Rattus norvegicus: one gene and its partner. The protein of the gene in region 1 interacts with the protein of each later gene in a biochemical or structural test. Links are inferred from orthologs where the notes say so. Each region holds a gene or a part of one and is shown on either strand. Other genes may lie near its edges.

Region 1 (4,296 bases):
CCTTCTTTGGCTGATTCCTGTGAGAGACGAGACTCATCAGCCTGGTCTCAAAGTCCCGTCACTTTCTCCACCCCACCTCAGAGGCCTCGAAGCCCTAAGACCACAAGCTGCACAGACAGAAGCTCAGCAGGAGAGTGACAGTGCAGTCTTCCATAGGGAAGGAGAAAGGGACGTTCTTGGGGTGGGCCGGGAGGGTCAGAGTGAAGAGACAAAGGGATGAACGTACACGAAGCAGTGTGTGGCGCTGGCCACCCAGCAAGGACTGATGAGGCTCCCACCACATTTAAAGGAGGGAGGGCTTCCTCCCTTATTCTTCAGGTAGATGGCTGCAAACCAGGGCTGGTTCTCAACGACAGTGAATTCTCCCCCAACGATCTTGAAGCGGGGCCTTAGAGCCTTCTGGCCACACTGGAACCCTTGTTGGTCTACAGTAGAAGAAGGCTTTTTGCCTAGAAAGGAGAGAGATACATGTTTGGGGGAGAGACAGCAAAGATGAAGATCTCCGGGGCAAACCTCACTTCTCATCCCTCCTGTGGTGACAACTCTTGTCTCTTTGTGTGTGTGTCCACACCGTTGTCACAAGCAGCCGGTGATACTCACTGAGAGAGCAGTCCTGCACCATGCATTCTTGGACAAACTGCTTTAGGCCAATTTGCACATAGCACCAGGGTCGCCTCTGGTTGTCGGGGTTCCTGGTAACACAGGGGATTGGGAAGGTCATTCCAACCCAGACTGTCTTCCCTGCATCCTCCCTTCCAGCAAAGGCTCAACCAGAGGTCTGGATTCTTGGGCCAGCATTCCCGTCTCAGTGTACCAGGTGCTGCTGACCTAGGTCTCTAAGAGGCCACGGCAGAGGGAGGGACGTTGTTTTTAACTTGTATAAGTGTTTCCCTGTATTTATGCCAGTGCATGCCTGCCCAATGAGGCCAGAAAAGGGCACTGGGTCCTCTAGAACTGGTGTTAAAGACCGTCATGAGCTGCCCTGTGGATGCTGGGAATGGAACCTAGGTGCTCTGGAAAAGCAACCTGTGCTCTTAACTGCTGAGCCAACTCCCTGTCGCCCCTGGGAAGGATTCCTGGTACTCAGTCATCACCTACCTGCAGTAATTGTGTTTCCCCAGGCCTAGGCTAAGAGCATCGGATCTGTGAGCATTGTAGGTTTGCTGAAGGACAGCGGGTGAATTCCAGGCCAGGCAGGGCCGGCCTTTGGTGTCAGTATTGGCCTTTCCTCGGTAAGATTGACCATTTCCATGATAGCAGGTTTTTGATGTATCTAGAAATAATTTGAGGAGTACAGAGTATTAGAAGAAGGAGGAGGTTTGGACAGGCATTTCAGAGGTGACATAGTTTTGGACCTGTCAGGTGACATTAGGAAGATCCACCCGATCCACCCTTTCTTCACACTTGTATGGCCACTGCTTCATGAGACTCTGCGTGCGAGTGTGTGTGTGTGTGTGTGTGTGTGTGTGTGTGTGTGTGTCCCAACTTCTGCTGCCTGTTTTAATTTATTTATTTGCTTATTTTATGTGTATAAGTGTTTTTCCTGCATGTATATCTGTGCACCTTGTACATGACTGGGACTGGAAGAGGCCAGAAGAGGCCAGAAGAGGGCATCGGATCCCCTGGGACTGAGGGTGCAAATGGCTGTAACCCACTACTGTGGGTGCTAAAAATCAAACTATATAGAAGAGCAGCCAGTGTTTTTAACAACTAAGCTTCAGTGTCCCCCTAAGTGCTGGGCTCACAGACCTATACCACCAAACCCAGCTTCTCCCTGCTTCTGCACCCCACCCATCTCTCCCTGTTCCGAGATCTCTGGTCCTCCACCCTGCCCCTCCCCACCCCAGCTTCCAAACTCCCCCATACCTATCTCACAGTGCTCCCCTTTGAATTTCTTTGGGCAGCTGCATCTTCGAATGCTGGAGAAGTACTTGTAGGACACACATACTCCTCCGTTCTGACAGCCACAGTTTGCTAGCAAATGCAAAGAAAGGGTAAACAAGGATCAAGGGGGAGCCAGCCTCTGAGCAGGGTGGGGGGCAGCCTCTGAGCAGGGACAGGTCTCTAAGGTTTCTCCAGGATGTCTGTGCAGCCAGCTATTGTGCAAGGAAGCAGATACTCACATTCATCAGAAGCTCCAAGTTCACTGCCACCCTGAAAGAGAAGGTAGGGGTCATCAGAGGTGACATGCTCTAGGGAGTCTGGGTTCAGGATAAACAGGTCCTGACCCCCACGCCCCATTCTCCCACCCCTGTCTGTCTCTCCCCATTCTGTTTATTACTAGCCAGTCCTACAAATGAAGGCCATGGGTTTCCAGTACCCAGACATGGATTGACTCAAGCAAACCTCACACAAACCAAGTGCCTTGGGCTAAGGCACTCCCCGTGGCTACCACCTCCCTTGCCAGAAAGTGCAAACCTCTTGGGGTGCCCAAGCCCTCCGCTGACACATTTCCCATTTCCTGTGAAAGCCTAAACCTGTCTTGATGCCTAAGCTCCCCGTGCATCCCCTCTTTTGTCCCGATGCTGCTTAAGGGGTCCTGCGAGCCCCTTCCTAAGCTGCCAAAGCAGCGAGACCACTCACTTCAGAGTGCGCCACCAAGGCGCAGAGGAACAGGCTCGCAAGCCAGACTCTCATGGTACTGACGCTGGGCTCTCTCTAGACAGCAGTTCTGCAAAGGAAGGAGAAGTCAGGGCAAGAAGAGCAGCTTGAAGGTGGCAGAGTTACTACAGGTCAAGGGAAGACACTTCAGATCCCCTGCGGGGCGCGCCAACAGGGACCAAGCTCCCCAGGTCAGGCAGTCTCTCGCGTCTGGGGCTCTGAACCTGCACAACAGCACCGACCCTCTCTGTAGAGGGGAGCAAAGGGCTGGAGTAGTGAGTGACCTTGCCCACAGTTCAGCCAACCGAGGTAGGGGGAAGGGAAGGCATGCAGGGACCCTGGCTGCCTCATCCCGCCAGCCTTGCTTCAGACCAACAGCACTCACCGGTGACTGCAGCGGAAGGGCGCCGGCAGACACGCAAGGACTGGATTGATGACAGACGGTGCTCTGAGGCTCCACTCACTGCTCCGCGCTGCTCGCTCTTTAATAGGGCCCGCCCGGGCCCGGGCCCCGCCCAGGTTTGGTGGAGGGCGGCGCTCTCTCCCTTCTTTTCCTTTTCCTACATCCCACCGCAACTGGACAGCGCTTGCTTCCCGACTTTGACGAAGTCATGGGATTTCCAGCTGACCAAACTAACGCAGTCTAGACTGAGGGACCCAGCAGCTTGTGCATTCTTCCATTCTTTCATTCACCTAGTGTGGCCCCAATGTAGCGTGGTGACGGCGCTCCAGACATGGGCTTGCTGACCTCAAGCCTCTTCCTTAGTGGTTTAATCAGTTCTTCTCCAACCTGTCCATCTTTGACCCCCTACCTGCCTACGACATTGATTCAGATGTCTTTAGAGGTGTATAATTCACAGTTCCTAACCTACTCACAAAGGTTCCCACATGTCAAATGCTGAGTCCCCAAATATTACTAACACAACCAGTGAATCAGAAGACAAAAGTGAAGTTTGTAGTCAGGGAGTGTTAAGGGTGTCATCAGAGGGTGAGACGCAAAGGTCAGATTTTATTCAGACTTGCTGCTTGGTTTAAGGCTAGTCTTTGAAAGATGGTTTTAGAAATTATGGCATGGGGGGTTGGGGATTTAGCTCAGTGGTAGAGCGCTTGCCTAGCAAGCGCAAGGTCCTGGGTTTGGTCCCCAGCTCCGAAAAAAAAAAAAATTATGGCATGGGCCAGACATAATGGCATACCCTTCAATCCAAACACTAGGGAGGAAGAGGCAAGTGGATCTCTGTAAGTTCAAGCCCATCCTAATTTACATAGTGAAATCCTCAAAAATAATTATGATTTAAAAAAAAACAATAAAGGTTACTATCTGATAGGATTGTAGGAGCAAAGTCTTAGGACACCAGCTGCTATTGGCTGGTTGAAGTGTCAATGGGTCTTTTGAAAAATTCCTATAATAAATGTATTTGTCTGGGGAAGAATACTACCAAGGAGCAGCTCAGAACAGGACCGAGTGCAGATCTCAGTGGAACTATGGTTGCACACAAACAAAGATAAACAATCAAGGGAGGGGGAGTCTTTAAGATTTATTTATTGTATGTATATGAGTACACTATAGCTGTCTTCAGACACACCAGAAGAGGGCATCGGATCCCATTACAGATGGTTGTGAGCCACCGTGTGGTTGCTGAGAATTGAACTCAGGACCTCTGGAAGAGCAATCAGTGCTCAATCAGGAGTCTTAGT
Region 2 (4,319 bases), on another chromosome or scaffold:
ATCTTTATGATATTTTATTTTTTAATAACATGTAAAATAGCTTTATTTTTATAACATTTTCTATTTTTTAAATATCATGAGACTTTTTAATGTCATGTAGATAAATCTCCTTTTTATTTATTTTTTAATGTAAAATTGACTGGGAAAGAGGTTTTATAGCAATCATCTCTTCAGGCAAAGGTAGGTCAATGAAGGACTGTTGTGTCTAGGAGCCTGGGCATGTTGTCTGAACCTGGGTTCTGAAATCTGTGCAGCAGTGGCTGTAAGTTTTGACTGTGTATACACACACACACACACACACACACACACACACACACCTCCCATACACAGCTCACAAAGGCCCTCATCCCCAACCCTTACACCTATGCTGTAGTGGGGAGAATCTGGCAAAACCAAGCAGGTTTTTGTTAGGATAAGGATATAGAGGCTTTCCACAGTAGATGGCTCCTGGTGGGCATAGAGATGGGAGGGGTTCGCTCATCTTTAACGGCCTGGCCACCAGGAGTCTGACCATGCTCCAGTGAGTATATAAACAACACAAACTGGTTTCTTAAATCTTTTTGGGGGGGCACAAGAGGTGGGGAGTGGGCTTGGGGTGCTGGGAAGTAAGGAGGATGGGATACATTATGTCAAATTCCCAAATAATAACAATATTATGTTAAGAAGATGACTTTCCTATCCCTTATTTTACTCCTGAAGTTTCTACTCCTTCCTCCAGGTGGTCTTTCTGGGAACAATTTTATTTTTAAATTTCTCTATGAATTATGGCCATACTTCACTCTCTTTCTCATATTCAGGTGTCCCTCTTCAGGTACTACTTGACTTGGATGGTTCGGTCATTTATTTTATTTTTTCTTTAAAAGTAACAATGCCCTGAGGGAAAGGATCAGGGGATCAGAAGATAAAGAGAACAAAAGATAGAGACGATACAGTTTAGGATCAGGAAGTCTTGCTTGCACACCTATGTCTTATACCAAGCAAGTGTCTTTTAAAAGTATAGTATCTTATATACTAGGACTGGGGAGAAGAGGAGATAGAGTCAGCAGAAACTATCATACAATGGGACAAAGTCAGAGGGAAACTAATCAACAATGTTGCAGAAGGAAAACAGGTTATCTCAAGAACATTACAGACTGAGCACACAGAGGCCTTGGGATTGATAATGCCATCTCTTCAGGGGAAAGAGCCAAGTCCCAGGAACAGAAATCTTAATACTTTCAAGGCTCCAGCCTCAGTCTCAGACTGGTATTGACAGGCACATTCTTAGACAAAGAAACAGAAGTAGGTTCATTTTGTCTTTTTATCAGGGGCCCTGAGAAAGCCTTAGATTAGCCCAGCTCCCAGTGGGGCAGAGTTGGAATGGGGTGGAGACAGAGTCTCTGTGATCCATGACATTTGCCAGCTATAATTCACTCTGTCCTCTCTCTTCTCATAAGCCAGGTGGATTGCTACCCATCAAGACACTCAGCCACCACAATACAGAGTGAGTACACCTGCCGAGGTAGGACCGATGGCCTTAAGGATGTGGGTGGGTGGAACATAGCCCCTAGGCAATCTGCAGCCAAGGAACCCTATGAATGAGGCACAATGCAAAATCCTAAACTTAAGACGTTATGGGGGGAAAATGGTGATATTCTCTCTCTCTCTCTCTCTCTCTCTCTCTCTCTCTCTCTCCCCTCTTGTAACTCCATTGCATGTTGATCTTTGCAGCCCCATGGCCTAGCTTCCTTCTTATCCTCTTGGAGGATAAAAGGGGACATCTTTGCAGATGTCAGCCTACTTATTGTCTCTCTCACTTTGACCCACAGCTGTTCTCTCTTAAGAACATTTTCCTCTTCTCCCACTCAGAATGGCAGCCACAATGAGGTTCTTCCCCATTCTGTGCCTGGTGCTGTTCTTCAGTCACGGGGTGGCTTCCCGCCAACGCTCCCATTCTAAGGAGAAGAAGAAGTCTAAAGAGTCCTCTGTGGGTGCTGTGGGGACTTCCCGAAGCAGAGACTTTGCCTTCAGGCTCTACAGGGCCTTGGCTTCTGAAGCCCCTGGTCAGAATGTTTTCTTCTCCCCCATGAGCGTGTCTATGAGCTTGGGTATGCTCTCCCTGGGGTCAGGCTTGAAGACTAAGGCACAGATCCTGGAGGGCCTGGGCCTCAGCCTCCAGCAAGGCCAAGAGGATATGCTCCACAAGGGCTTCCAACAGCTGCTGCAGCAGTTCAGCCAGCCTAGTGATGGCCTCCAGCTGAGCCTAGGCAGTGCCCTTTTTACAGACCCAGCAGTACATATCCGGGACCACTTTCTGAGTGCCATGAAGACATTGTACATGTCAGACATGTTCTCTACCAACTTTGGGAACCCTGAAAGTGCTAAGAAGCAGATCAATGACTATGTAGCCAAGAAGACCAACGGCAAGATTGTAGACTTGATCAAGGATCTTGACAGCACCCACGTCATGGTGGTGGTAAATTATATCTTCTTCAAAGGTAAGCCTTAGGCTCCAACTTGAACTTTCTGTCTTTTCTCTTTTCTGTTTTTATTTTTATTTTTTATCATAAGATAGCATTCCCTCCCTGATAAAAGAGCAACTCACCCAGGTGCCAGCTGGGTGGAAGGAAGGCAGCCCCATGTAAGACAGAGCATCCTTATTAGTCTGTCGGTGATCCAACAGTCAGGAGCTGGTCCTTGTCATAGCCATCATGACAAAACAACCCTAACTGTCAAAGCCACTAGAAACAGGATAAGGACCTGATCAGGATTAAGAGGGCAGGAAACAGGAGGGGGTCAAAGACTACTGAAAGCAAATGTCTGTTACCATGCCAAGACACAATGGTCAGGACAGATTTTTTTTTTAAAGGACCACTTTATTGGGGCTGGTTTACCATTTCAGAGTCTACGACCGTCACAGTAGGAAGCATGGTAGCACACAGATAGGCATGGTGCTGGAATAGTAGCTGAGAGCTTACGTATGATCCACAAACACTCAGCAGAGAGGGAAGGGGTGCTGGTGTGGGTTTTTGAAACCTCCAAGCCCACTCTCAAAGTCATACCAATATGTGCTGACGAGGTCACACCTCTTAATCCTTCCTAAAACAATTCAACCAACCAGAGATAAAGCATTCAAACATATGAGACTGTGGGGGGTGGGCATTCTCATTCAAACCACCACAGCAAGAGTTTAGGAGGACAGGAGGACAGGCACATTAAAGGTTCAGGATACCCCAGAGTTATGAGGGGATTTGGCCTCTGAGTTATGGGTACTGCTGTTGCTGAGGTTGCTCTGTAGAGACACTCTTTGGATTGTCTCCACTCTTCAGTCACAGCCAAGGGTCTCATTTTTACCCAGTTCTCTTTTACTCCTACCCCTTGTTCATCTTTAGCCAAGTGGCAGACGGCCTTCAGTAGCACCAACACCCACAAGATGGATTACCATGTGACTCCCAAGAAGACCATTCAGGTGCCAATGATGAACCGCGAAGATATATATTCCTACATCCTCGACCAAAACATTTCCTGCACGGTGGTGGGGATCCCTTACCAAGGCAATACATTTGCTCTGTTTATTCTTCCCAGCGAGGGCAAGATGAAGCGGGTAGAGGATGGCCTGGATGAGAGAACGTTGAGGAACTGGCTTAAGATGTTCACAAAGAGGTACTCTCTGGGCCATTTTGGGGGCACGGCCTTCTACCCATGTCAGGGGAGACACACTCCAGGACCTCATAGTACCGGTGGGAAGGACTCCTCAGGCAGTGAGATAGCCCCAAACCTAAAGGCTTCCCATGAAGTCTTCAGCCCAGGACCTGGCCCAGCTTGAGGGATAAGATGCAGAAAGCTGGGGTTCTAAGGTGACACCAGAAGCCTAAGTGATTTTTTATAGTAGAGAATAGAGTTTAATAAGGGCATGGGGAGAGGAGTTAAGAGGGTAGTAGAGACAGAGAAAGGCAGAGAGAGAGAGAGAGAGAGAGAGAGAGTAGAGATGGCCATGAGCACTGGAGGGGGGGGAATGGGGAGAGAAGGAGGAGCAGGAAGGAGAGGACAGAGCTAGAGCAAGAAGGCAAAACAGCAGCCTAAGTCTAAATATGAAGCAAGGGACGCTTCAGAGATGAAGGTTCCAGAAAGTCTGTGAGGCCACAGAGAGTGGGTGCTAAGGACTTGTCAGCAAGCTCATGGTATCTAAGAAGGGACCTCCTTCTCTCTCCAGACAGTTAGATCTTTACCTCCCCAAGTTCTCCATTGAGGGTACCTATAAACTGGAAAAAATCCTCCCCAAGCTGGGCATCCAGGACATCTTCACCACCCATGCTGACTTGTCTGGCCTTACTGACCAC

What was found.
Region 2: the proteins of Plau (region 1) and Serpina5 form a complex in vitro, tested with the Homo sapiens proteins (2 studies listed by BioGRID). The link is inferred for Rattus norvegicus from reciprocal best matches to the Homo sapiens genes PLAU and SERPINA5.

Annotation. Positions count from the first base shown.
Region 1 is NC_086033.1:3,508,974-3,513,269, forward strand, and holds the start of Plau (urokinase-type plasminogen activator precursor), read right to left. Parts: upstream 3,015-4,296; 5' UTR 2,987-3,014; intron 2,672-2,986; 5' UTR 2,638-2,671; coding exon 2,584-2,637; intron 2,155-2,583; coding exon 2,124-2,154; intron 1,975-2,123; coding exon 1,867-1,974; intron 1,274-1,866; coding exon 1,099-1,273; intron 693-1,098; coding exon 601-692; intron 450-600; coding exon 227-449; intron 18-226; coding exon 1-17. UniProt on the Homo sapiens protein: Specifically cleaves the zymogen plasminogen to form the active enzyme plasmin.
Region 2 is NC_086024.1:128,786,701-128,791,019, forward strand, and holds the start of Serpina5 (plasma serine protease inhibitor), read left to right. Parts: upstream 1-1,380; 5' UTR 1,381-1,388; coding exon 1,389-1,483; exon of another isoform or gene 1,484-1,501; intron 1,502-1,808; exon of another isoform or gene 1,809-1,848; coding exon 1,849-2,477; intron 2,478-3,371; coding exon 3,372-3,642; intron 3,643-4,192; coding exon 4,193-4,319. UniProt on the Homo sapiens protein: Heparin-dependent serine protease inhibitor acting in body fluids and secretions. Inactivates serine proteases by binding irreversibly to their serine activation site. Involved in the regulation of intravascular and extravascular proteolytic activities.